7 linked regions of the Xenopus tropicalis genome follow. Each later gene encodes a partner of the first gene's protein in a complex. Links are inferred from orthologs where the notes say so. Each region holds a gene or a part of one and is shown in the gene's direction. Other genes may lie near its edges.

Region 1 (3,500 bases):
CCTACAGAGAGAAGAGAAGCAGCTTGAGGCTTGCCTGGATGCCCTTATATCTCAAGTTTCTGACATCAAAAACTCTTTGGTTGGCTTTATCCACAAACTTGAAAATGAGTATGACCGACTGACATGGTGTGTTAAAGCAGATATTTTTAAAGTATTGAACACATTTGGCAGTGAAGACTATTTTCTATGTTAAAGGAGAGGTTTGCCTCAAAATTAGAACATTACAGATGAGGCACATGAGTTATTTCAAATACTCCCACTGGACAGCAAGCACTTGGCAAAGGCTACTAACAGTGCTTTATCTGGCATAACAACATATGCCAGATATGCCCAATATTATTTAGCCACAGATGGTTTGGAATCCCTCTGTCAGAAATAATCACAGATTCTGCATTGATTGGGATGGTTGGATCACACTGGAAAAGCAGTTGCAAATGTCTGCAAGTTAAAAAGTAAATTTGTGGGTGAATGTACCCAATAATAAAACACATTTTAATGTTAAACGTTTGGTTTTTCAGGTAGGGCAGTTCACTGTTTGATGAACACAAAAAATTATTGGCCAACATAAACTGAATACCCAGTGAAATTTAAGAAGGAAAGGCTTAGAGCCCAGTTGTAACCCTCAACACCCCCCCCCCCCCCCACTCCTGTGACCAGCGGCTAACCTGAAATCTCATCTGCTGTGTCTCTTATAAAACTACTTTGCAGTCAGTGATCTTGATCTTGCCATGCTGCATATTGCCAGACAACAGCATAAATCAACAAAACCATCTTGGAAACACCGAGTCTGTTGTGGTACCAATCAGAAACTGACATTTTCCCACCAACAAGGAAACGCCAATAAAATCTGAGTCCCCCAAGTGTTTGCAGAGAGCAGTGGAATCCACCTGTCAGGGGCCAGTTTTGGCCTGAAAATGCTTCTGTGTTTATTACTTCCACTATTCTGCATTTTTTTCTAAAGGGAATAGAATCTTTTGGGCTTCTTTCTGCTGAATCAATATCAGAGTGTTTGTCCCATCCTTGATTCAGTACAAACAGTGATAATTATTGGCATAAATGTATCATAGGGCCTTGATTTTTAAGCTTACAATCTTTTTTTTGCTTTTTAATTCTTGTCATATAAGCAACAGAAAATGTGTCTCTTTAAAGTCTAATTTTTTTTGCCTTCTATTTTATTTTTGTTTCTACAACCAAAACAGGAACTGCACATTTCCTTCGATTCAGCGGGTTTGCTTATGCAGCCATGGAAAGCGAATTTTAAATCTCCTTATACTCCTAATGCAGAATATATAATAATTGTAATGTTAATCTAAAATCCGTCAGTAAGGCAGGATTCGTATGGACTGAATTATTCCTGTTTTTGTGTGTCTCAGCCACATGTGCCAGTTTCTGTCTGATTAGTATATCTTTTTTAGGCCATCTGTACTTGATAGTTTTGCACTTCTGTCTGGGCAATTGAACACACTGAACAAAGTGCTTAAAAACGAGAAGACACCTCTTCTAAGAAACCAGGTCATCATTCCACTTCTTTTGTCTCCGGACAGAGATGAGGAGATCATGGTAAGTTTATGAAATAACTGCTTTTGATGACAAATCTTGTACAAACTTTGGCTGTCATACCTTTCCTTGCCTACAGCGTCTGACAGAAGGTAGGGTTCCAGTATTTAGCCATGAAGTGGTACCAGATCACCTGAGAACAAAACCAGACCCTGATGTGGAAGAGCTAGAAAAACAGCTAAGTGCTGAAGCAGCCCGTATCACCTCTGAGGCTGCACAGGTATAGTTCCCCTCTAAGCATTTTTATTGGTTTTTGCCACATTGTCCATATTGCTGATTTGGTTTTATTTTCTCTAGAAACAAGTTCAGAGTATGAACAAAATGTGTTCCAATCTGTTAGACAAAATTAGCAAAGAAGAGAGGGAGTCTGAACTTGGAAGTGAGTATTTGGTTTGGGTTGATAGCTGCTATGACATGTTGAGTTTGCTATAGTTCTCTCTGGACTCTGTGCAGTACCAGAGAATTGTTTATATAAATAGTGCTCTGCATTAAATCAGCATTCATAAGAAAATGTCAATTATCTACCAGTATATAAAGTACTCTATACTAGTTCTTTTTTTTATTAAAGCCAGTGTCCACACTTTGGGCAAATATCAGACATACTGCAGTAGTGCGGATGTGCCCTAGCACACTTATTATGTGCCAGCACCGGGAACATATCCTATTCTGTGGGAATTTACCTAAAGAAATATTATTATTTGCAAGTTTTTTTAGGCCACACCTTCAGTGGGGGAAACAGTTAAGATTGATAGGTGTCTTTTAGTTTCTAGGGGTCAGGATCCTTGCCACTGCTCCTCCTTGCTAGCCTTCACCAACAAACTGTCCTAATCAAATGGCACGGGTACATTTAATTTATATACTCACGCTGTTCTATGCTCACCCCCTTCGGTAAAAGCAGGTTGGGTGCAGGTATATAGGGAATTCCAGGAGGCCGGGTTGGGTTTGTGTTAGGGTTAGTACCAATCAACAATTAGTCAAACAAGGCATCTCTAATGCCATGTTTCTCTGCAATATGTAAAATATGAAATGATTGTATATGTGTGTTAAATATTTCATATATGTGTTTCTTACAAAGCTTAAGGGAGAAAATGGAGTTATGTAAACATGGACAAAGTTTGCCCTGGTCCATTAGCACACAGCAAACAATTTGCAGTTAGCTATTCACTGATCTTCTGCACTTATAATATTGGCAGACACTTTACTGGGCTGATATATGAATAGTAGAGGGGCTGAATGGAGAGATAAGTAATAATAATTAACAATAAAACTGTATCCTCACCGAGCAATAGTTTTTGACTGCTGGGGTCAGTGACCCTCATTTGAAGGTGAAAAGAAGCAGTAGAAGGCGGCAAAAGGTGACCCATCCCTTTAACACCTTTATTGACTACAAACTATCTAATGGATCCCATACTTGTAGTGTAGAAATAATGTGTATCACAGAATTATATTTTTCTGTAACTTCATGTTTTGGTCACATTGTACATGTGTAATTTCTTAATCTAGGTTTAAGACAGAACAAGCAAACATTTAATCCTACCGACACAAATGCACTTGTAGCTGCTGTGGCATTTGGAAAAGGACTTTCAAATCGTCGCCCACCAGGACAAGGTGGTCCTATGGCTCCAGGACAGACAGGAGCCAGCAGCATGCTTCCAAATGCTACAGGTATGCAGGTTCCAATGTCATTGCCACCAAACCAACAGCAACAACACATGGCTGGAGTATCAATGTCACAGGGCAGCCAGCCAGGTAGGTGCTATTTACATGGTTTACCTATTTTAGTAATGGATATTCTCTTTTTGTATGTATTCATTTTACTTTGACCACATTCCTTTATGTAAATTATCTTTTAATGTCATTAAACAGGTAAGATGCCCAGCAGTATTAAAACCAACATTAAATCTGCCTCAATGCACCCATATCAGCGATGAAAGCCTGTTCTG
Region 2 (3,500 bases), on another chromosome or scaffold:
GATGACTTCAAAAAGATGAGGGAACAGATGTGAGTTTTTGTGTCTGTCTAAAAGTTCTTAGTAAGTTAATTCTAATGGAAAAGTAAGCCCTATCTCTAAGGCACCTCTTTGAGGTCTTTATAGTTGGAGAGAGAGAAGGAGGGCCTAGAAAGCATAAGGGGTGGAGCTGCATGCAAGACAAGGAAGTCAGTAAAAGAACTGCAGCTCAGCTGCTTGTAATAGAGAAACAAATTCCTATAAAGGAGTTGCACTACACATTCTTAATTGGTAATGGTGCTGCTCTTTTTAATTACACCAAATGATTTTTTTTCCGTTAGTGGGCAAACTCACAAGGTGTGCATCTTGATTTGCAACTCCCCTCCATATCTACTGCCTGCTGTAGAGAGCACAACCTACTCTGGATACACAACTGAGAACCTTGTACAGAAAATTGGGGAGGTGAGTTTCATGAAAAACACTTTAGCTCTCATTTGTGTTCTTTGTTTTTGTTCCCAGTTACCCTGTTCTTTATGAGTCTGTCTCCTACATCATCCTTCTCCCCATTTGTGTATACTCTTTGGACGCATATGTTTGCTTTCTTTTACCATATCATAGATCCATAATTCTGTTTAACTATTATAGGAAGTGTAAGCTTCATCATTATCTGCTCGAAAAAACAATGGTAATCATCCCCTTTAACATAATAAATGGTTAACGTTGTACTACACCTTCTGCTTAAAGCATCAGTAATGTAAAAAAGTAAAATACAAGTTTTACATGAGCAAATTTTTTGTTCTTTTCTGTAGAGAGCCATAAATGACATTTGTCCCCAGTTTACCTTCCTGTGTAAGAACAGAAACCATTGTATTCTACACAGTTTATTTATAATCTGCTGTAAAAACATGTGCCCTATGGCTCGGCCACGCGGCGAATTCTTGGCCAGCAGATTAACGTAGGCAGAGAATCCACCCCTAAGCTTCAAAAAGCTTGATTTTGCGGGGAAATCTGCTCAGTGTGCCTGCACCAGGCCCGACACAGTGGCTCTGGGTGCAGGCACATCAAAAAGCTTTTTGAGGGTAATATTTTAATTTATTGGTATGACTGGTCCTTTGAAGAAAGAATGAAAATCTGAATAAACATTGTTGTAAAGGGTATGTGCTAAGATAATCAAACATATTTCTGTCACTTATTTTCCATTTACTGGACACCCAGCATTAAATTGTACATTGTACAGCAGCTCATAAGGTATAAAATTCTCTTGTTGTTGACTTTAGAATATGGAAGCATATCCAATGACCACTGGGACTATATTTGCCTTGTTTATTTTTATTAGAGAGGAATCCATTTCTCCGTCATTTCCCCGCGCAAACTGCCAGCATTACGAACTCTGTTTGAGAAAGCCATGCCAGTGGGTTTGATCGAGCCACAGCCTAAAGACTACAGCCAGGACCCTCGGCACATGATACTTGTACGCGGAATGGTTCTTCCAGGTTAGTGTTGTGCGCCATGGATCGGCCTATACAGAAATATGCCATTGAATTTTAGAAGGGATTGTTGATTGCCATTGACTTATTGAATTAAATCTAAACTATATCCAAAATCAAATTCTGGTTAGTACACACTTTTTCTTTACCAACGGATACCATAATGTTTTGGTTTCCATTCAGATTTCCATAGGTCTTATATCTTTGTCTCTAGCCCTGTGCAATTTCACAAACTACTTATATAAGAAAATTTTAAGGAAACCATAGATATACATAAATACATACCTACACAGATATATAGATAGCTTTAGATGTAGATAGCTATAGTATGGAACACAGCAGGTCAATAATTTGTGTTTTTAATGTTTACTCATTTTGGCTCTCTAACACAGTAGGAGGAGCTACATCTGTTCCAGGAGTCATTCCACCTAAACAACCTATTTCACAGCCACCACTTCCAGTTGTCCCACCCCAGATTGCAAATGCCCCTTCGCATCAGCTCCCACCTGTCCAGCCACCTTATATGGTATGTATTTCCACGTGTGTGTGGTGTCTGGGAACTTGGCTTCATTAATACAGTGTAACCGATGGAGTTAGATCACTAATTGTTTGTTATACAAAGTCTTTTCTAGCCTTTTAGTTGACTATTTGAAATGTAGTTTGGTCATGAAGAGGGAAGGTCTGGGTACACAAGATCCAATTGTTTAGGGGGATTTACTGTGGTTGAGAGATGTATTATGCACAAGCTTGGCTTTTATTTTTGTCATCATGTTCTTTTATGGACTGGGACACAGTTTATGGCAATTGCATGTTACATTAGAAGGGTGGAAACAGATGGTTAATAAACATTATGTTATGTTCAGACTGACCTGTGTTGTTCTCAGCAGGTTCCTCAGCAGAATACTTTGACTACAGCACATGCTGCTGCCCAGTCTGCGGTTGAAGCTGCAAAGAATCAGAAAAATAACCTCCCAAATCGCTGTAAGTTACGTAAACTGCAGCCTTTTATACGCTGATAAGAAATTGCCTTTTTTGCCTGTATAAATGCTCCTTTGTCCTGTGGTTGATCCAGTGCTAGCCAAACCACTAACCCCTGCCTTAGGTAAGTTCTCAGCCGCAGTGCCTTTCAAAAAGGATGGCTTTTGTGGTTCTTCTCCTCCTTACGTTGGATTCCTCCAGGATAAAATAGCTTATGCTTCCCTGATTTAAACTTGATATTTAATGCACATCAATAAATAACTGTCAGTATTAATAAATAGAACTTGTACATGAGGTGAACTTTCTTTGGAAACTTTTTTTTTAATGACTGATGTGGACAAAGAATATTTTATGGAAGAAGCTGCCCAGAATCCCAGGCTGTTTATTACTTTACAATGTTTCTTGTGGTTATGCTGTGTGATACTTTGTTTTTTTTTTCTCCAATAAGTATTTTATTTACTTTACTTTTAGTTCCACTTCCAAACCTTAATCAGATGCCACCTACATCGGCTGTTGGTACTCCATTTAACCAACCGCCGCCCCCTGCAATGCCTCAGAATACCTCAGTCCCCAAGATGGTTACTTCCACTGCATCCTTAATGACGCCTGCTTCTCAACCCAGTCTTGTCACCACGGTAACCACAGGTCCTGGACCAGCGCCTGTACAATTGCAGCAGCAGGGAGCTCAGCAACAGCCTGTTCCGCCATCTATGGTAAAGCAGCCTTTGATTTTATGAATTTCTGCCATTTGCTTGCCAAGCCATACCAGAAAAGTGTGTAGACATCATACCTGCATGTAATTGCTTTGTTTGGGTCAGAGCCTTCTATTTTAGATGTTTGAGTGACAGATCTGATTAAGACTAGTGCAGATTGCTGCAGAAGTTATTGTATTTTTTCCCTAAAAGAGAACTGCTTTTTTTCTAGTGTAAATGCTCCTCGGTGCTCTGCTTTGTAGCCTGAGGCTTCAGTTTGATTCCTCAGAGGCAATAAACCTTTATGATTTTTACTATGTGCCGATTTCTTGATCAGTTATCTTGTGTCTTCATACAGCCCATAACA
Region 3 (3,500 bases), on another chromosome or scaffold:
ACTACAACCTTCAGCACTTGGTGGGAATTTTAACCTCCTCTCTTTGCCTCGTATAATTTTATTTATACAGTGCTACTTTTCACTGAACAATAAATGAATAGAACAAATAGGGGTATTTACAATAACAAATACATAGGACAGTTGCAGTACAGACTAAGAGCTAAGGGCTCTGGCACACGGGGGAGATTAGTCGCCCGCGAACAGGTAGTTAATCGCGGGCGACTAATCTCCCCCGTGTGCCAGAGCCCTAAGTGTCAGAGACAAGAGGTCCTTGTCTCATAGAGCTTACAGTCATGCCTGTACTAGATTTTCAATGTACTGAGTTATGCTTTTCATATTCTGTTATATATGAATACCTAGATTCATTAGAATACTGTAAAAAGTGTGTTTAATTAAAATTGTGTTATTTCTTTTATCCTAAGGCAACAGCTGTCTACCAAGCTAAGGAAAAACTGAAATCAATAGATAAAGCAAGGAAGGGTGAGTGTGGAAGATTTTCATGAAACTAATGGCATAGTTTTGCACAAGGAATTATTCTAAAAAACAATATAACATACATAGGCCCCCACTGAGGTTCAAAATAGGCACTGGCATTTCAAGTACACAGATTCCAAACTGCTTCCCCCCTCCCCAGCCCACCAAATAGTGACTGGCATCTTACAGCAGCCCCTCTGAGATTTGCATGAATCCAAATATTTCCAGTCTGGGCCTGAATATACATCTATTTTTGCCCAACTGAAACTTAAACATTTTGGCACTCCCCAGTGAGTTTACATTTCCTTCTCCTTTAAATTTGCTTGAGTAGTGGAGAATTAAACCAGAAGGAAACTCCTGTTAGTAGAAAACTGTACCAGCCCAGGGTATTTCTGTAGAGGTTCTTCAGCACAATCTTTCTTCCTCTTCTCTCTCCTTTTCACCAGAGCACGAGTGTGTGCACTAGAGTGAAAGAGCTGGCTTTTAGTTACTAAGTTTGGCTTTCACTCTACTACACATACGCCCGCCCATACCAGAACAAAGTGTGGAAGACTTCGAATAAGATGGCAATGAGGATCTTTTGCAGAAATACTCTGGGCCAGTGCAGTTTTTAGCAAACAGGAGCACTGGCCCAGGGTATCAGTGATTTACACTTTCCTCCAAGCAGTTGGACCCCATTTTGTGCACACAACTCTAAACTACATTTTTAAATCTATTTTAACCCTGACTAATTTGATTGGAAAGCTCATAAGCTGTGCAGATATTTTTTAGGTTAAAGTAGAAAAGTGAATTTCCACTTTCAATAAGTTAATAAGAATAATTTCTTGCCTCTTGATTGATCCGTGTGTATTTCATAGGTGTTTAGTTTTACAAGGTTGGTCAGGAAAGCCTTAATCTTTAAAACCTATATAATAAACATTCAGCAAAAATGCTTAGTAATATGTTAATCAATACACTTCCTGGCTCTGTGACCTGCGATACAGATTAGCAACATATCAATACTGACCTTTGGCTTATCTGAGATTTACTGGGATCTGATGTTACTACATGCTCTGCTCAGTATAATTTTTCACACATTTTTAGCTTAGCTTACCTACAAGCAATTCAGAGCATACTAAGCATACTGGTCACCTGTTGAAAAGAAAACATCTTATTGGTTGCTATGGGTTACCGCTACTGGGCACTTAGCAACTTTTATTACATATGGGGATTAGTGTTCATTTAAAGTATGTCAAACCCCATACAGTTTTCTTTAATCACAAGTGTTGATACAGATGTTGTCACCTGGACTTTAATCGCTGGCTCCAACGTGGATTGACACATTGCACTGATCCTATACCTGGTTGTTTTATGCCCTCGTAAACTTCCTGTGATTGCTACACACAAGTTTATTTTATTTTGAACAATAAACTATAGTGTTATCATAGTGGAGTACAACAAATTATTAGTTGTTCTGACAGTTTGGTAAAAAAAAATTCTAACTTGTCATCAAATTGTAGTAAGTTAAATAATAAAAGGTTAGAAGTGTAAATGTTCTAACATTTTTTTCTTTAAATGTTTTTAAGGTGCAATTTCTTCTGAAGAACTAATTAAGTATGCCCATCGGATTAGTGCAAGCAATGCTGTATGTGCTCCTTTGACTTGGGTGCCAGGTAATTACATATTGCCAGTGTTTACTACTCCAGTTTATGTGCTTTATTAGTCAGAAATAAAAAGAACGTGTGGAGAGGCCAACTAAGGAAAGACCATGGTTTGTGTTCTCTTCTTCACAAAAATTAAATGGGACTTAGTCAGTTAAACTCAATCTTTCTAAAGTTGATGTTAACTCCAGCAAAATTTTAAACTTTAATTGCACAGCGGTGTGTAAATACAAATTATTTTACAGCATGATGTTGAAGTAGTGATGTGTGGTGTATTTTTACCATTATTTAACACAACTTTAAATTAGCCATTGTAATTTGATTTTCCTGTGCACAATTTTATTTAAGGTGATCCTCGAAGGCCTTATCCCACTGATTTGGAAATGAGAAGTGGCCTTCTGGGTCAGATGAGTAACCTGCCTACTAATGGAGTCAATGGACATTTGCCTGGAGATGCACTGGCTGCTGGACGACTCCCAGGTAATATAAAAGAACTTAAAAATTCACATGATTTATTTGTCCCAGTTCCTGGAATCCATATAACATTAAAAAAAACATCTTTAGTCTTTCCATATGTTGCTAAATCACAAATGGGAAGCTCACAGCATTCTGATTGCTGCCATAAGTAACACCATTGAAAATGCTTTGTGCCATAGCCCTTTAGGGACAAAGAAATCAACTTGCATGTAATAAACATTTGGCCTATTTGCTTCATATCATTGTTGTATTGGGCCTTAGTAGTTAATGTGTTCAAATAATAACTAAACTCTTTGGGAAATCACTTTTTGTTTTAGATGTCTTGGCTCCTCAGTACCCATGGCAATCAAATGACATGTCCATGAACATGCTACCTCCGAATCACAGTAATGAATTTTTAATGGAATCCCTTGGGCCCAACAAGGAAAATGAAGAAGACGTTGAGGTCATGTCCACAGACTCATCCAGCAGCAGCAGTGACTCTGATTAAATGAGGGCAGAAAGTTCACAGCCACTGGAATCCAACCACTAGCTCTGAGATGTGTATGCATGTTACCTAAGTGGCTTTAATTACTGAAGACTGCCATAGTCATGAAAGCCATGGACTTTTTTGTCAAGTACTTGGAATACTGAACTGACATTTTGTACCAGTATTTTTTGTGATTTGTTTATATATATATATATTTTTGATAATTTTTTTTATAAGTGTTTATTGTTTAAAGGAAGATGTGTTATCCTATCCTAGTTCATTATTTGTGAAACCCATGAAGTGCCTGAAAGGGAGGCCAGCATGTGTTTTGGCACAGTGCTGTATATTGAATGTGCTAGCTTTCTGCTTCATTTGCTTTTTACTTTCTATCAAAATGTTGTTGTTCCATTGAGAAGCGCTGATTATTGGGTTTGGTACAA
Region 4 (3,500 bases), on another chromosome or scaffold:
ATTCTAATTTTTAAAAATGATCTCCTTTTTCTCTGTAATAATAAAACAGTACCTTGTACTTAATCCCAACTAAGATATACTGTAATTAATCCTTATTGGAGGCAAAAAAGTCTATTGGGATTATTCAATATTTAAATAATTTTTAGCAGACTTAAGTTTTGGAGATCCAAATTACGGAAAGATCCCTTATCCGGAAAACCCCAGGTCCTGAGCATTCTGGATAACATGTCCCATACCTGTATAAGGTTTGGCAAGATTGAACTATGTGGAATATGTTTTAAACATTTTGCAGGGAAAATATGTTAGCTATCCCTATGTTCTGGATGGAGCCATCTAGCCCCACCATTCCAAAACGCTTACTTCAAATGATCGTGTCATGTCACCTGTGAAAATACTACACGTTACTGTAGTCTGGGCTATCAAACAAGTCCATCATGTGTGAAATAATGTTCCCACATCTCAAATTTCTGCAGTGAATAGGAATAAATGCAATAAGTATGGTAAACATGTAAAAGGCTCTGTTTGGCCTAGATCAGAATCATTTTATGAAAGTTGGATTGTTTGATTAAAGGGATATTGTAAAAGGAACTTGTATGTATGGTCTGTTTGAAAATGATAAAGTTATCCTGGTTAAAATAGCATTGTTTTAGAGAAAGTAATTTTTGATAGAGCACACAAATTCCATATAGATATATGCTTGGTTCTGGAATACTTACATTTTGTAATATAGTAGAGATACAATTTAATGTTCTTTTATATGCTCTCTGTCTCTGTTCATTTCTTCATTTGTAGGCAACCTTTCACAGTTCTCATCCAAAATTGCCATGTTGTATATTCCTAAATTAAAGAGTATTTGCATTTATATGCTCTAAATTTCAGGTCAGGCTGGGAAGCTCCTCTATGTTATGCACAATTCAGAGTACCCTCTCAGTACATTTGCATTATTTGAGAATGGTCCATGTCTAGTTGCTGACCTAAACCTGGATGTGCTTATGGTAAAGCTTAAGGGATTCTTCCAGAATGCGAAAGCCAACAAGATGGAAACACGTGGCACGCGTTACCAGTACTGTGACTTCTTAGTCAAGATTGGCACGGTAACAGTGGGACAGAGTGGTCGTGGAATCACTGTAGAGGTAAATATGTGACAAGACACCTAGATATTTTCAATATTAATGAACAGCACTTCATATTATGATATTTTTATGCATAATAAATATAGAATAGTATAAGAAAATGATCCTTAAATCCTTGATTCTGTCACGATTTTGATGGTGTACTTTTTATTTCCAAATGACTGGTTTACATAGCAAATAATTCACTCTACTATTTAAAATTGTATTCTTCAAAGAACAAATGTATTTTAGTTGTCATATTGATGTGTAGGCAGCCATGTCAGTGCATGTTCCTGCGATGAGCTTTAAGAAGGAGCCAGCGCTACACATTAGACCTGCTTTCAGGTAACCTAATGTTTCTCCTACTTCCATGTAATTGGAGGAGCTTGAACTACAGAAGTCATGAGCCAGACTTTTTTCACTATTGAGTGCTATTCTATCTGCCACTTTTAGCAATACAGGTGTCAGGGAGCTGTTTACTTGCTAACTTCCCATTGTTCTGCTGATCACCTGCAGCTCTGATATAAACTGATCATATTTTAAGAGTAGAAGCCATCACTTGGATACTGGGGTTAGGTTTGTGCTTTCAAATTGCGCAGAAGATGATTGCAGGTTTGCATTTGCAAAACTATCCAGCATTCCCTTCTTTTGTCATGACATAACGATCACATGCAAGCACAGGAGATGGTCATGTTTTGTGGGTTAGCGGACAGTGCATATGCAGATCCAAGATGGCAGCTGTGTTCTTGAAGGGAAAAAAACATGGAAAAAATGGGTTTTGCAAGAGGCATGGGTGAACATTAAGTTGGGAAAGTATGGGTTTGGGTACCTTCCTTATCCTTGTACCAATGCGCAAAGTAAAGAATGTTTTCAATATAGTTAGCCAGAACACTACTTTCTCCTTTACAGCTCTCTAAGCTGTTAGCAGTCAGTAACCAATCAGCAACTTTAGGGAGGGCCATATGGGACATAATGGTTCTGTTAATTTTTTTTTTTTTTTTTAACATTGTTGTTTAAACATTTGTTTATTTACATTTTTTCAGACATTTCTATTTACAACATTTGTAATGGTATTTCACTTTGCTTACATATGTCTTTTAAGCAATAAAGTGTTTGGGACATTTTTAGGTTAGAGAGCTGAAAGCAGGAAGTAGTGTTCTGTCTATTATGTTAGACATCTGCTCACTTTAGCCTAACTATATTAGAAATATTTTTTATTTAATGGTCTATTTTACCCAGTTTCATTTTCACACTGAACTGTGCTTTGAGGGGATTATGTAATAAAAGTCAGTAAGTTTTCCTAGGAGCAATAACCCTTAGCAACCAATCAGCAGGTAGCATTTACTGGTTACCTAGTCTAAGGGTGAAGACACACGGAGCTACTAGTAGCAGGTACTTGTCGTGGCTACTAAAATGCTGATCATTTACTACATGTATTTTAATTTCACAGTATTGCCTATGGCAGGGTATTTTCTGGTGTTTAGAAGCCATGGAAAGTAGCTGCTGCTAAGTAGCTCCATGTGTCTTCACCCTTAAGGAAACATCTTATTGGCTGCTGTTAGTTAGTGTTTGCTTCTTTACAAACTTAGTGCCTTTTATTATAAATGCTGGTTAGAGCCAAAAGATTTTTTATTAGTGCATATGAATTTTCTCGGGTGCTGACTCTGCTTCGACTAACTGCTTGTGTATTATGTGAAGTAAGACCCCCTAAATGTACAGAGACCCACAGAAAACCATATATTCCTGGAAAGTACATATTCTGATGGATCTAACATGGTTAAAGAGGCCTTTCTACACCAAAGTACTAATCTGTAAAGCTTTTCTAAAGTTAGCATTTTTCTGACAAAAGAAAATCACCCCAAATATGAATATCAGAGGTCTACTGAACAGTTTGAGGCCAATATGCATAGATTTACCAAATTATGAGGTGTACAGAGGAACCCAAATGAAAATATGCACATGAATTTTCTCAGCTACCAACTCAGTTTCTGAAAATAAGATCCCCTGTTGCGTATTATGTGTTGTAGACCCCCTAAATGTACAGCGACCCCTGAAAATATCCAGCATGGGTAAAGAGTCCTTCCTACACCAAAAAATGTTGCAATTTGTCACATTTATCTCACACAGTTTCTTGCATACAAAGGCAAATCACCCCAAATATGACTAAATATAACACACACCAGAGGTCTACTGAACAGTTTGATGCCCAATATGCATAGATATACCAAAGTCTGTGGTATGTACGGACCCCAAAATGAATAGTGCGTATGGATTTATCACCTGCCAGCAACAGAGCACCCTGACAGTGTATTATGTGCCATAAGACCCGCTAACTGTACAGAGACCCCCAGAAAACCATATGTTTTTGGAAAAGACACATTCTGATGA
Region 5 (3,500 bases), on another chromosome or scaffold:
GTCGTACTGGCTGATACATTATATAGCTTTAAGAAGGGGCTGGATGGATTCTTAGCAAGTGAGGGAATACACGGTTATGGGAGATAGCTCTTAGTACAAGTTGATCCAGGGACTGGTCCGATTGCCATCTTGGAGTCAGGAAGGAATTTTTTCCCCTCTGAGGCAAATTAGAGAGGTTTCAGATGGGGTTTTTTGCCTTCCTCTGGATCAACTTGTAGTTAGGCAGGTTAGGTATAGGCATTATGGTTGAACTTGATGGACGTATGTCTTTTTTCAACCCAACTTACTATGTTACTATGTTACATGCTTCTGGTTAAGGTTGGGTCATCTTTGAGGTGAAGGAAAAATATCAGTGCGACTGGCTCTTCCAGGGGGATTAGATTAAAATGGACCATCAGAACAGGCTTAGTTGGGAGTGAGGAGTATATCAGGAGTAAATGGCGATTACATTTTGTTGCTGCCGACAATTATTTGTAATGAACTTAATTTTGAAAAAAATCTTTTTATTCTTCTTAACTGTAAACTTTGCTCAGTAGAAAGCCTAAGATACACAACACTTTTACTGGTGGCAGTTATCTTTTAACAGTATACAAGTGCCAACTTGATTTTAAATGCCCAAATACATATAGCAAGGTACATGTTTATGCCCCAGAACATGTAGCAGTGCCAGCTTGATGTCAAATGACTCCAGATATAAAGCATTATGTATAATAAGTGCCAACCTCATGTTTAATGAGAAAAGTGTTTTAGTACTTTTTGCTTCCCTGTATACAGCTCACCTTTCCACCCTCTTCCAAGAATCTGACACCTATCACTGGCAGCAAATTTACAGCAGCCCTTCGATCATCCAGTGTGGCAGTCTTGGTAACTGCTGCTCAGATTGCAGGACTATTTCTAAACCAATGGGATCCTGCACCGGGATCTCGCTCCCAGTGGGTTCAGCCTAGTGCTGGGGCTATTTTTTATTTTTTTTTCAAGAAGCCCCCATACCACCTTGTTTTGGGATTGATGTATAAAGGCTTATAACAACTAAACTATCTAATATAACTGTCATGGTGTTATTGATGTACCACAGTTCAGCCAGAAAATCCCCCTCTATCTTTAAAGCAGAAGGAAAGGTAAAATCATTGGAGGGGTTCTAAAATGTTAGGCACACCCCCAGTGATTGTAATCGCTTGCCTTATACCCCGGAGTGGTGCACCTATTAGAAGAAGAAAGAGGATCACTCTCACAACTACCCAGGGCTGGGGTATAAGGTAAGCGATTACAATCACGGGGGGGGGGGGTGGTGCCTAACATTTTAGAACCCCTCCAATGATTGTACCTTTCCTTCTCCTTTAAAGAGATATGGACACCAGAAATGTAACTGTTTTTTTTTTTTATATATATCATAACCGTGTCTTTGCATGCCATTTATCATTTTGCCCTACAAGTATTTGCCCACTGCTTTTATATTATCTAATCCCCCATGTTCCTCTATGAGGGGGCTGCCTTATTTCTGCAGCAGGAGTTCGTTGGCACTAGAAGCTATAACTGACAGGCTGAGAAGGGACAGTCAGGTTTGCAAAACAGTCAGGTTAAGGGACTTCAAATAGCAATTATTAACAAAAGCGGCCCTATCAGTGAAAAATGATCAACATGACCTATAGGTAACTTTTTATGTACATTCATATTTTAAAAAGTAGTTTTTTTTTGTGTGTCAGTATCACTTTAATATATGACTGTAAAGATATTGTAACTATTGGATTTAGACTGGATTTTGGTTTATGTAATAAAACTACATTTTTTTTTCTCACACAATTTATTAAATGCATTGTTATTTGAGGAAATGGGGAGACAACTAGTGGGGACCATATTACTGCATTAATGGATTAAAAACTTTACAACTGGGGGGGGGCGGGGGGTTGTTGAACAAGGATTATGACCTGTATGTTTTACTTTGTTTATTTTGCATGAAACTATTTAGATGCAGACATACCTAATTCTACAGATTTGATATTTGTAAAAAACTATTTCCTAACTCTGTTAGACTCGCATTGTAATGCAGTTCCTTCCTAAACCTGTTTCATAGTGAAGTGATATTGGGATTTGAAATCCTTCTGCTTTCCAGAGAATCTGTGCAACCACTGTTTCTTAAGCCCCGGAATTTATCACTTCACAATGAAACAAGGTAAAGGATGGGTTAGTAAATGTATCTGTAATGCATTTTGCCCCTTGGGGCTTTATCAACTGGATTAATTAGCCTACAACAGCTGCCCAGACGTTGACTAGATCTGCTTTAATTTTTGTTTTTTTTGGGGGTTTTTTTTTTTTTTTACTCGTAAGAGCAAACCCTGTCAAGGGTGGCTATATATAGAACTTTTATAAAATTTTGACCCACCTCCAGAATGTAATTCTAATCTGTTAGGTACACTGATTTTGAAAATAAATTGGCAGCAATATTTTTTTCTCAGTTTTGTGTGTAAATATTTAAAGTTGTGTCTGTTTATTCCTCAGGACTTTCAGATCTCACTGGCAGTGTCAATCTTATCTTGCACTACAACTTGGAACATTCCTTCAGTAAATTCTGTGGAAAAAAAATGAAAGAGAAACTCAGCAACTTTCTTCCAGATCTGCCAGGTAAAAAAAAAAGGGAGGTGGTATTAGCCTTTTTAACATGTTTTTACAGCTGACCATTGAAAAAGAAAACAAAAAGGCATTTAGAATAAGTAGCTTTGTGGAAGTTAAATGGTGATGAAGGGATAAAAGGAGATTTTTGCCTAGTTTATGTTAACAAAGCCTTGTTTGATGCAACATACACAGTTATAATTCTGTTTACAGTACAACTCACCCACTCCTGACTGGGCTAGCAGCTAATTTTATTGTTTCAATTACATTAAAAAACACATATTTATAAAGCCCCAACATGTTCCACAGAACTATACATTAAAGGGGGTGGTGTATACAGTGAACACACAGATTACATCAAAAAAAGAACAACCAAAGCTCAATACAAGAGTTAGTGGGCCCTGCTTAACATCAGCTATTGCATCCAGACCCACCTGATAGGGACACTGATGGCTCAGCCCAACCTAGTCATTATTTGACACAGGATATGGTACAACCCTCTGTATTAATACAATTTGGAGGCTCAAAACCCTATTCTTATTACTAGATTTAAAGTCACAGCCTATTCACAGTATCAATCCAAACTATAAAGGGAGTTTGCGAACAAACTTCATGTTGAATGAAATCTGATCTGTTGTTGGCTCGGCCCACTTTTTCTAACCTTGGACCACAGTTATATAGTAAGAGCCACTGTGCAAAGTTTTGTAATAGTGTCTGAATAGCAGCAAATTAAATTTCCCACTGAAAGTCAATGAGTCACATCTGATTGGCTGTTGGTGGCTCCGCCCACTTTTTAACCTGGAACTGCAGTTACCCAGTGACTAACTATGCAGAGTTTAGGGACCCTAGTATTAATAGTTAAAGAACGGCAGCAGTTTAAATTTAAACCGATA
Region 6 (4,218 bases), on another chromosome or scaffold:
GTGGCCCTGCAAGGGATTTTTACAACCCATGGTCTGCTCAATATCTCCATTGACTTCTTTGTAGATACACTGTGTATCTCATCCCACAACAAGTGGGATGAGACACAGTGAAATCTCACTTTTACATTCCCTGATTTTGCCATATTTCACATTTCCACAATCATTTTTTGGAGGGGTCTGGCGCACACAGGTACCTGGCCACCACCCTGGCAAATATTAAGCAGCGGGCACCCTTAACTTTATCAATGAGAGTGACTATAGAGCAGGGGTGGGCAAACTTTTTGGGTCAGGGGCCACATTGACTAACAGACGGGCCGGACCGGGCCGGGACAGCGTTACGCCCGGGGCTGCCATCAAAAATTATGGGGCCTCTCAGCTCCCCCCCAGCATCCTTCATGACCTGCGGCTCCCTCCGCCAGCGACCCGCTGCTTCCTCCGTCCCGTCCTTCTGTTCCCCGGCTCCCCAGTGCATTCTTTTATATGGTTGCGCCCCGTGTGTGCTGACGCTATGCGCATGCATGGGGCGCAACCAATCAGGGCCCGTCATTCTTTTAAGGGGGCCGGAGACAGCGGGCCATAGTTTGCCCACCCCTGCTATAGAGGAACCAGACCCTATGGTCCAGGCTGCCCCTGGTGCCCCCCCCCCAACCATGGTGTCTGCTTCCTCTATAGTTACACCACTGACTGTAGGAAGAAACCATCTTCACAGCATAATAAAGGGGGGAACTAAAGATTTTTAGTTTTTAAATCATAATCCTGTGTGTGTGTAAATCTATATATATATATATATATATATATATACACAAACACACACACTGTTCACAAATACACATTTTTTATTAGATGAGTGGAGAATATATATATATTAAATTAAAATAGTCCCAAATTACATTTATTTCCAAAGTAAAGTGTGAGCAAAATGTAAATGTAAAAATAGAAAGGTTTATTACTCAACGATTGGGTCTCACACAGAAGCCTTCATCTGGAGTGAAAAACAAACTAAATACATATATATATATATAAATATACATGGTTTGTTTTTCACTCCAATATCCATTTGATAAGATAAGTGCAAAATATGGAACGCTTCACGAATTTGCGTGTCATCCTTGCGCAGGGGCCATGCTAATCTTCTCTGTATCGTTCCAATTTTAGTATATGTGCTGCCGAAGCGAGCACAAACATACCTTAGCGCCGGTTCTTATTTAAAGCCCCTAGCTTTTGATTCGGTTATATTGGAGTGACAATTTTGTATGTCTATATGTATATTTACACCGAGCAGCAATAAATATTACTTGATATTGTTTTATTTACTGGGTACATGAAAAACAGAAGAGAAAGATTGAATTTATAGCTGCAATTTAGGCATTTGCCACGATGCACGCCGGGAGAGGTCGGCATGCTAATCTAAGGATGACGCCATCGGAAAGCGACATTGAGACGCTTATTCCGTGAGACGCACTAATGTAGCCGGGAACTTTCATTACTGGTTTTACGTAGAACCTTGTTATCCTACGGGATTCTGGAACCAGCAGTAACCAGAGCAGTTTAGTAGCAAATCCCCTACGCAAGGTTCTAGCATATTTTCGCTTTTTGACGCTTCTTGTCGTCCGCCTTCGTTTCTTATAGCTGCAGTCAGTCAGTCCATTCCCAATGTAAGCCATTGTGTTTCTGTTCCCCCGATCTGTAGCCCTTCTCCCATAGTTAGTAGGTGCGTGTTTGCTGTCAGCATGGATGTGGGGTACGTATGTGAGTGGGACAAAAGACCACGGACCAGTCACTGCCCATCAATCCCACTAGTTTGCGCTTGGTCTTGCCGCAATCTTATTGCTTTCACTACAGATCAGCGCAATGAGGAGGAGAAAGGTAACATCTTTTTGTTATTACAGCACCGCTCTGTGAGTGTGATTATATGTGTGTGTATTTCTATTATTTAGTAACTGTTATATGTCTACTTTTCTCTCTCTATCTATAATGCATAAAACAATTAAAAGACAAACCAAAATGAGTCTTACCCAGTGTTGGACTGGATACCAGGAGAACTCATGGTGGGCCCAGGTGTCAGTCTCCTGCTCCTGATCATTTGGCCTGTTTCATGGTCATTCCCTATTTCTGAATGGGAAGAAAGTCAAGAATTAGATGGAAGAATAGATGCTATGTAAATAAAAGAGACTTGGAGAATAAAGTGGTTGGGTGGGGAAGGAGGACAAATAATTTGGAAAGTGGGTCTAAGGTTTTCTTGTGGGTCCCTGGGTTCCCAGTCCAAAGCTGGTCTTACCAAAGAGCTTGGATTGCTTGGATTACATTTTTATATTACCATGTTTAAAATGAACTAGGTTAGTATATTAAGGGTATTTGGGTCACTAGAATGCATAGAATGCAGATAGATGCATAGACGCAGATAAAAAATTAAAGCATCTGAATCTATAGGCATACACATTACGGTTAGGCAATGCCTTTTACATTACATTAACATTTATTTATAAAGCGCCAACATATTCTGCAGCGATGTACAATAAGTGGGTTACATACATTGGACATACAGAGTAACATATAAAGCAATCAATAACCGATACAAGAGGTGAAGAGGGCCCTGCCCAAAAGAGCTTACAATCTACAAGGAGAAAGGGTTGAGACACAATGCCTTGCACCAATATAAAAATAGAAAGTATTGCTTGTAGTGGAAGCGTGGCAGCTTGAGACCTAGGTGCACAAATTCAGACCCAGGAATGTGTTACTGCAATAAATTCTACTTTTTATTTAATGTCATTCTGTGCCACTTTGTATTGTGGGGAAAAAAAATTCTGCACCTTACCCCCCCTTAGTAAATAATCCCTGCCAGCAGGCTCAGACTGCCAGTCTGTGGGTTCTGGCAAATGCCAGAGGGACTGCTGAAAGATGCCATAGACAGTGACTGTGTAGTAGAGCGCTAGTTGGGGGCTATTTGAGCTTTTGTGTGCTGAAAATGCTAGGGCCTATTTTAAATCTCAGTCCAGAGCTGCCTACTAGAATGTTAAGTGAAGAAGTGTGTATTCTCTCACAATAGTTGGGTCGTGTGAGCTGTAAGAAAAGTGCTTGTTACTGAAAAAATGCTAAACAATTGGCTGTAGTTAGCCCTCCTTCCCACCCCCATTCATTTACCTTATGAAATTTACATTGAAGTGCAAAGAGTTCATCTGTCTTCTATTATCTTTCTAAAAAGTTCAACTGTACTCAAAATCAGGCGTTTTACAATGCACAAATTTAAGTATATATTTTATGCTCTCATTGAATATATTCTTATTCGTTAAAGCAAGTATAATTTGACCATGGAGAGTTGCAACATTGCATAATTCTCACCAGATTGTTTGTTTTCCAGGGTTTTGATAAATTAAAAAGTGTTTTTACAGGAATATGGATAAATCTGAAATAACTTGATTTTTTTTCTTCTCAGATATCACTAATTTGATCCATATCCTCGACACAGAACATCCGTGGGATGTCTACTCTATTAACTCTGGGCACCAGGAAGTTATTACCAGCTTGGAGTGGGACCAATCTGGTACAGTAAAACAAATTGCTGGGCTTTTTGATAATAAACAAGAAAACCATATAACTTAAAAGGGAAGGGCAGAGAGCAAAGGGAAATATGAAGAAACAAGATAAATGTGGGAAGCAGAAAATGAATCCTTGAAGGGACATAGACAGTAGTGTTTGTAACTGTTGCTTTGGTTTTATTGGTATTTTTAGGTTCCCGCCTGCTCTCAGCTGATGCAGATGGTCGAATCAAATGCTGGGGAATGACTGATCACTTAGCAAACAGCTGGCAGAGTCTTGTAGGCAGCGAAGTGGATGGAGATCCCATAGTAGCTCTGTCTTGGTTGCACAATGGAGTCAAACTTGCTCTCCATGTTGAGAAGGTGGGTGAGATAACAATGAATATTTACATTAGTATTTATATTTAGTTGTTTGTATGCTCTTTTCTTTCACTTCACTTCACTTTGCTTATCCTTTTTGTTGTTAAGCAGAGACCATTATTTCTTTTGTCCCCTAACCATTATTTCCCTTTAAGTAGGCATTTACCACCCTTAATACTGATCTTTTTTCTCCTGCAGTCTGGTGTTTCCAGTTTTGGAGAAAAGTTCTCACGCGTGAAGTTTTCCCCATCTCTTACTTTGTTTGGTGGAAAGCCAATGGAGGGTTGGATTGCAGTCACAGTCAGTGGTTTAGTTACAGTGT
Region 7 (4,143 bases), on another chromosome or scaffold:
ATGGAGAGGAGGTTCCTTCTATATACTGGTCCCAGTCCCTCAGCATTCATTGAGGTTAACCAAGCAATTCTGTTTTCACTTGTTTAACCCATACACAAATGTCATGTTGGGATCCAGGTAAAAGGCAGGTTTATTACAAAAAACGAATAACTGTGTAAAATGATATACAAGTTATATTTTTATGTGGGTATTTGTCTTATGAAAACACAAGTAAAGCAATGCATTCAACTGAATGCAAAACAGTTTGAATAAAATGTTCAGTTTACTTGTGTTTATTGAAGTAATCCCAGTGAAAAATCAGATAACTATATATCTGCTGTCTAATCTCGTTATACATATTCTGCTTCTGCTATATTTCTGCATGTCCCATGCTACGTACAAATCCTTTTCTCTTTTTTTCCCATTTATTCTTTTACAATTTTCTAAGGGACCAGTCTGCTCTACAATTGGTAGTCCAATTGGTAGTCCGGAAAAACGCTTGCTGAAAATACCGCATAAAAACGCAAGACTTTGCATTCTCTCAAGTTTTTATGTGTATTTCGGCTACATGTGCCTGAACCCAAGCATATTCCATTCATTCGGGTGCAGGCACAAGTAGGAGGCGTAGGGCGGTATTTTCAGGATGCATTTTTCTGCTTGCCGAAAATATACGCCCTATGCCTTGTCTGGCATTAGCCTAAGGCTGATGTCAGACGTGGCATATTCTCGGCAAGTCGAAAAACGCTTGCCGAGAATACGCCCTCTGCCTACTACCAGCTACGCTCTGGTGCAGGCACAGGTAGGAGGTGGAGGGCGTATTCTAGGCAAGCGTTTTCCGGCTTGCTGAGAATACACCACATCTGACATCAGCCTAATAATGCAAAAGGTGGCAACACATAGGCCAACCTGCCATTTATCCGATTATGGCCTACACCTGGCCAAATAACCCTGTTGCATTCCTTTGGGCCCACTAACTGATGGGAATTTCTGCTATTAGTATTTTTATGTTGGACAGATGGAGTGCAAATTTTTTGCAGAATAATCAACCTGTGTGTCATAGTCATGCATTATTTTCCAAATTGGCTAATTCTTTCCACTTTAATATAAGTCAATATAAAAAGAAGAAAAGACATGGTGAACACAGTCTTTATAAAAGTTGAGAAATGTTTTTTTACAGAAAACATAAGCAGTGAGAATTTGTGCGTTCCTTGTGAAGACACAAAAATGTAAAACTATAACCAAAAAACAGATTTGAAATCATTGAAATGTATACGTATGTTTGTTAACGCATACTTCTTTTATTCACAACTAGAGGCAGACTGAGTTCCGTGCTGGTGTGTGTTTCCACCCGGGACATATCAGCGTTGCACACTGGGTCTTCTTCCTGGAATCTCTACATTTCGGCTTTATAGACGCTAGCTGTGGGTTGTTGTGACGTTCTTGGCAGCGTCACAAGCAGCGGTCCGCTCATCCTTAGGCGGTGTTCGTTTGGCTCATTGATGGCGGGGAACTTTTGGCAGAGCTCTCACTAGTAAGCGTTGTTTTATTTGTTTTGTCTATAGGTAGTAGGCTGAGCTGTCGCCATCTTTAAAATTCCCTAGCACTTCACTATGAGCGGAAAAGATTCTAACCTGCTGCCTTGCCGTTCTCAGTATACCAGTGTTTTGAGACTTGCAAATTGTGAATTTCTTTGCCTGTAGTGAAGTACAGGCCTTTTTGTATTTGCTGTAGCCCTATAATAACCCTTTTAATAAAGTGCAAGTTGTTGTGTTAGCAATATACAGTCTGAAATGCAGAATAACTCATTGCAAATGAGGTCCAGGTCCAGCATTTGATCAGTTCCATGGCTTTGCTTATAAGCACAAAACAAAGCCCTCCATCTGTTGCACTGTTGCACATCCACTGATAACTATCAGGAGAATGCTGGGAGCTGAAGTTCCACTAAATGCCTGGGGACCTCAGGTAGGTCATTTTTGCCATTAAGACATCAAAATGGTTATTACAAGGTCACTGAAATATTAAAGGAGACATTCGTATTTTACATCAGTAAGTACATTTAAAGGGGTTGGTCACCTTTGAGTTAGCTTTTAATATGATTTAGAGAGTGATATTTGGAGACAGTTTGCAATTGGTCTTCATTTATTGTAGCTTTTTTTAGTTATTTCATTTTCATTTCAGGAGCTCTCCAGTATGGAGTTTCAGCAGCTATTTGGTTGCTAGTTACCTTAGTAACCAGGGAGCTGTTTGGATGAGAGACTGTTAAATGAATAGGAGAGGGCACAAATTGAAAAAAAAAAAAGCTACAAAAACTAACAACTATAAAACTGCCTCACAGAGCATTAGTTTTTGTGTTGCTGGGGTCTGCAAAGAGTTGGAAGAAGAAAGAGTTAGTTAGAATTGGTCATTCCGTAACATACTAAAAGTTAACTTAAAGGTGAACCACCCCTTTAAGAAGGGGTTGGATGACTTTTTACGATCCGAGCCCAGCCCTTAAGGTGGCGATTTGCGATCTTTCATGCAACCATCGGTCGCACACCGTTCAGGGCTGAAACGGCAGATAAGGAGGTAGAAACAATAGGATTTCTACCTCCTTCTGCCGATTCAGCGCTGAAGGCAGATTTTGGTCAGGCGCCTTCTATCGCGCCCGATCAAAATCTTTTAACTTGCCCGGTCGGCGAGTCGACCGATATCGGCAACCTCCTGCGATATCGGTCGACTCGCCGATTTGCCATACACACACCGAATATCGTACGAAACGAGGTTTCGTACGATATTATCGGTGCGTGTATGGCCAGCTTTAGACTTGGCCAATACATGAAACTACGGTTGGCTGAAACATGGAGATTGTGCGCAAAATTGCACTTGGCCCACTTCATCTAGGTAAGTGAATGTGCTCTATGGACTAATAAGAATTTGACAAAATAGCAGTGCAAAAGAATTGAAATGATATATTTTTCTAATTTTTTTTTTTTTTAATTTATTTTAGTTTGCAATGGATTTTGGACAAACAAGACTTATTAAAAGAACGACAAAAAGACCTAAAATTTTTAAGTGAAGAAGAATATTGGAAATTGCAGATATTTTTTACAAATGGTAATCGCATGTTTCTTTTAGAAACCTGGTATTTTATTATAGGTGCAATATTTTTATTGTGCTATGTTACTTCTGAATATAGATTGTTATTGGGATGCAACCCACTCAATAGCCCCCACACTGTTTGTTTCTCTTGCTACATTCGCATGAAACACATACTCATTTACATTAAACATTCATCTTATTTTCTTTCCTTTGCAGTTATCCAAGCTTTAGGAGAACACCTTAAATTACGACAACAAGTCATTGCCACTGCCACTGTTTATTTTAAAAGATTTTATGCCAGGTGAGTTTGCTGAGAGGGAAAGGACTTGTATGTGTTTTTGGTTTTATGGTAATGCCCTATCCAGTGCCAGCAGCACTAAGCAAAATTAGTGGTGTATGAGTGTTAAAATGTCACAATCCAGCTGTGGCTTACCACTACACCGTAGTGTCTTTCTGTGATAGTTAAGCCCAGACTTTCCTCAGGCAGTGCATATTATTTGAGTGTAATCATAGACTGGAAAAGTACAGGCTAATGACTGAACATTTAGTAAACATATACTTCGTCTAGGTAGGTGAATGTGCCCTATTAAAGGTGGCGACACACGTGGCGATCTGACGATGTTTAGTGCGACCATCGGACCACACCGTTGGGGCTGAAACAGCAGATAAGGAGGTAGAAACAATAGGATTTCTACCTCCTTCTGCTGATTCAGCCCTGACGGCAGATTTTGGTCAGGCGCCTTCTATGGCGCCCGATCAAAATCTTTTAACTGGTCCGATCGGCGAGTCGACAGATATCAGCAGCTTCCTGCGATATCTGTCGACTCACCGACATGCCATACACGCACTGAATATCGTACGAAACGAGGTTAAGACTAAGATTTTGACAAAATTTTTCTTATATTTTAGATCACGTTGTTGCTATAAAGCTGTGCTGTATCTTGTATGTATTGTTTTACATTTAATGTTTACAGATCCAACTTTTCAATTTAAATGGAATTGTTACTCTATGGTATGGCCTTTATGCACTTATGTTTTGTTGATATAATTTTTTTGTTTTTCATATTAGGTATTCTTTAAAAAGTA

What was found.
Region 2: med8 (region 1) and med25 share a complex: the UniProt entries of both Homo sapiens proteins name them as parts of the mediator complex. The link is inferred for Xenopus tropicalis from reciprocal best matches to the Homo sapiens genes MED8 and MED25.
Region 3: med8 (region 1) and med4 share a complex: the UniProt entries of both Homo sapiens proteins name them as parts of the mediator complex. The link is inferred for Xenopus tropicalis from reciprocal best matches to the Homo sapiens genes MED8 and MED4.
Region 4: med8 (region 1) and med20 share a complex: the UniProt entries of both Homo sapiens proteins name them as parts of the mediator complex. The link is inferred for Xenopus tropicalis from reciprocal best matches to the Homo sapiens genes MED8 and MED20.
Region 5: med8 (region 1) and med19 share a complex: the UniProt entries of both Homo sapiens proteins name them as parts of the mediator complex. The link is inferred for Xenopus tropicalis from reciprocal best matches to the Homo sapiens genes MED8 and MED19.
Region 6: med8 (region 1) and med16 share a complex: the UniProt entries of both Homo sapiens proteins name them as parts of the mediator complex. The link is inferred for Xenopus tropicalis from reciprocal best matches to the Homo sapiens genes MED8 and MED16.
Region 7: med8 (region 1) and ccnc share a complex: the UniProt entries of both Homo sapiens proteins name them as parts of the mediator complex. The link is inferred for Xenopus tropicalis from reciprocal best matches to the Homo sapiens genes MED8 and CCNC.

Annotation. Positions count from the first base shown.
Region 1 is NC_030680.2:88,531,562-88,535,061, reverse strand, and holds part of med8 (mediator of RNA polymerase II transcription subunit 8), read left to right. Parts: intron 1-7; coding exon 8-126; intron 127-1,415; coding exon 1,416-1,560; intron 1,561-1,636; coding exon 1,637-1,777; intron 1,778-1,854; coding exon 1,855-1,936; intron 1,937-3,060; coding exon 3,061-3,306; intron 3,307-3,423; coding exon 3,424-3,488; 3' UTR 3,489-3,500. UniProt on the Homo sapiens protein: Component of the Mediator complex, a coactivator involved in the regulated transcription of nearly all RNA polymerase II-dependent genes.
Region 2 is NC_030683.2:117,450,992-117,454,491, reverse strand, and holds part of med25 (mediator of RNA polymerase II transcription subunit 25), read left to right. Parts: coding exon 1-29; intron 30-317; coding exon 318-438; intron 439-1,312; coding exon 1,313-1,469; intron 1,470-1,855; coding exon 1,856-1,989; intron 1,990-2,347; coding exon 2,348-2,444; intron 2,445-2,912; coding exon 2,913-3,154; intron 3,155-3,491; coding exon 3,492-3,500. UniProt on the Homo sapiens protein: Component of the Mediator complex, a coactivator involved in the regulated transcription of nearly all RNA polymerase II-dependent genes.
Region 3 is NC_030678.2:134,871,175-134,874,674, reverse strand, and holds part of med4 (mediator of RNA polymerase II transcription subunit 4), read left to right. Parts: intron 1-422; coding exon 423-480; intron 481-2,039; coding exon 2,040-2,126; intron 2,127-2,462; coding exon 2,463-2,594; intron 2,595-2,908; coding exon 2,909-3,081; 3' UTR 3,082-3,500. UniProt on the Homo sapiens protein: Component of the Mediator complex, a coactivator involved in the regulated transcription of nearly all RNA polymerase II-dependent genes.
Region 4 is NC_030678.2:70,770,635-70,774,134, forward strand, and holds part of med20 (mediator of RNA polymerase II transcription subunit 20), read left to right. Parts: intron 1-879; coding exon 880-1,133; intron 1,134-3,500. UniProt on the Homo sapiens protein: Component of the Mediator complex, a coactivator involved in the regulated transcription of nearly all RNA polymerase II-dependent genes.
Region 5 is NC_030683.2:55,860,814-55,864,313, forward strand, and holds part of med19 (mediator of RNA polymerase II transcription subunit 19), read left to right. Parts: intron 1-2,496; coding exon 2,497-2,619; intron 2,620-3,500. UniProt on the Homo sapiens protein: Component of the Mediator complex, a coactivator involved in the regulated transcription of nearly all RNA polymerase II-dependent genes.
Region 6 is NC_030677.2:100,791,816-100,796,033, forward strand, and holds the start of med16 (mediator of RNA polymerase II transcription subunit 16), read left to right. Parts: upstream 1-1,418; 5' UTR 1,419-1,730; coding exon 1,731-1,866; intron 1,867-3,433; coding exon 3,434-3,541; intron 3,542-3,729; coding exon 3,730-3,899; intron 3,900-4,094; coding exon 4,095-4,218. UniProt on the Homo sapiens protein: Component of the Mediator complex, a coactivator involved in the regulated transcription of nearly all RNA polymerase II-dependent genes.
Region 7 is NC_030681.2:82,030,365-82,034,507, forward strand, and holds the start of ccnc (cyclin-C), read left to right. Parts: upstream 1-1,343; 5' UTR 1,344-1,478; coding exon 1,479-1,510; intron 1,511-2,965; coding exon 2,966-3,072; intron 3,073-3,273; coding exon 3,274-3,358; intron 3,359-4,126; coding exon 4,127-4,143. UniProt on the Homo sapiens protein: Component of the Mediator complex, a coactivator involved in regulated gene transcription of nearly all RNA polymerase II-dependent genes.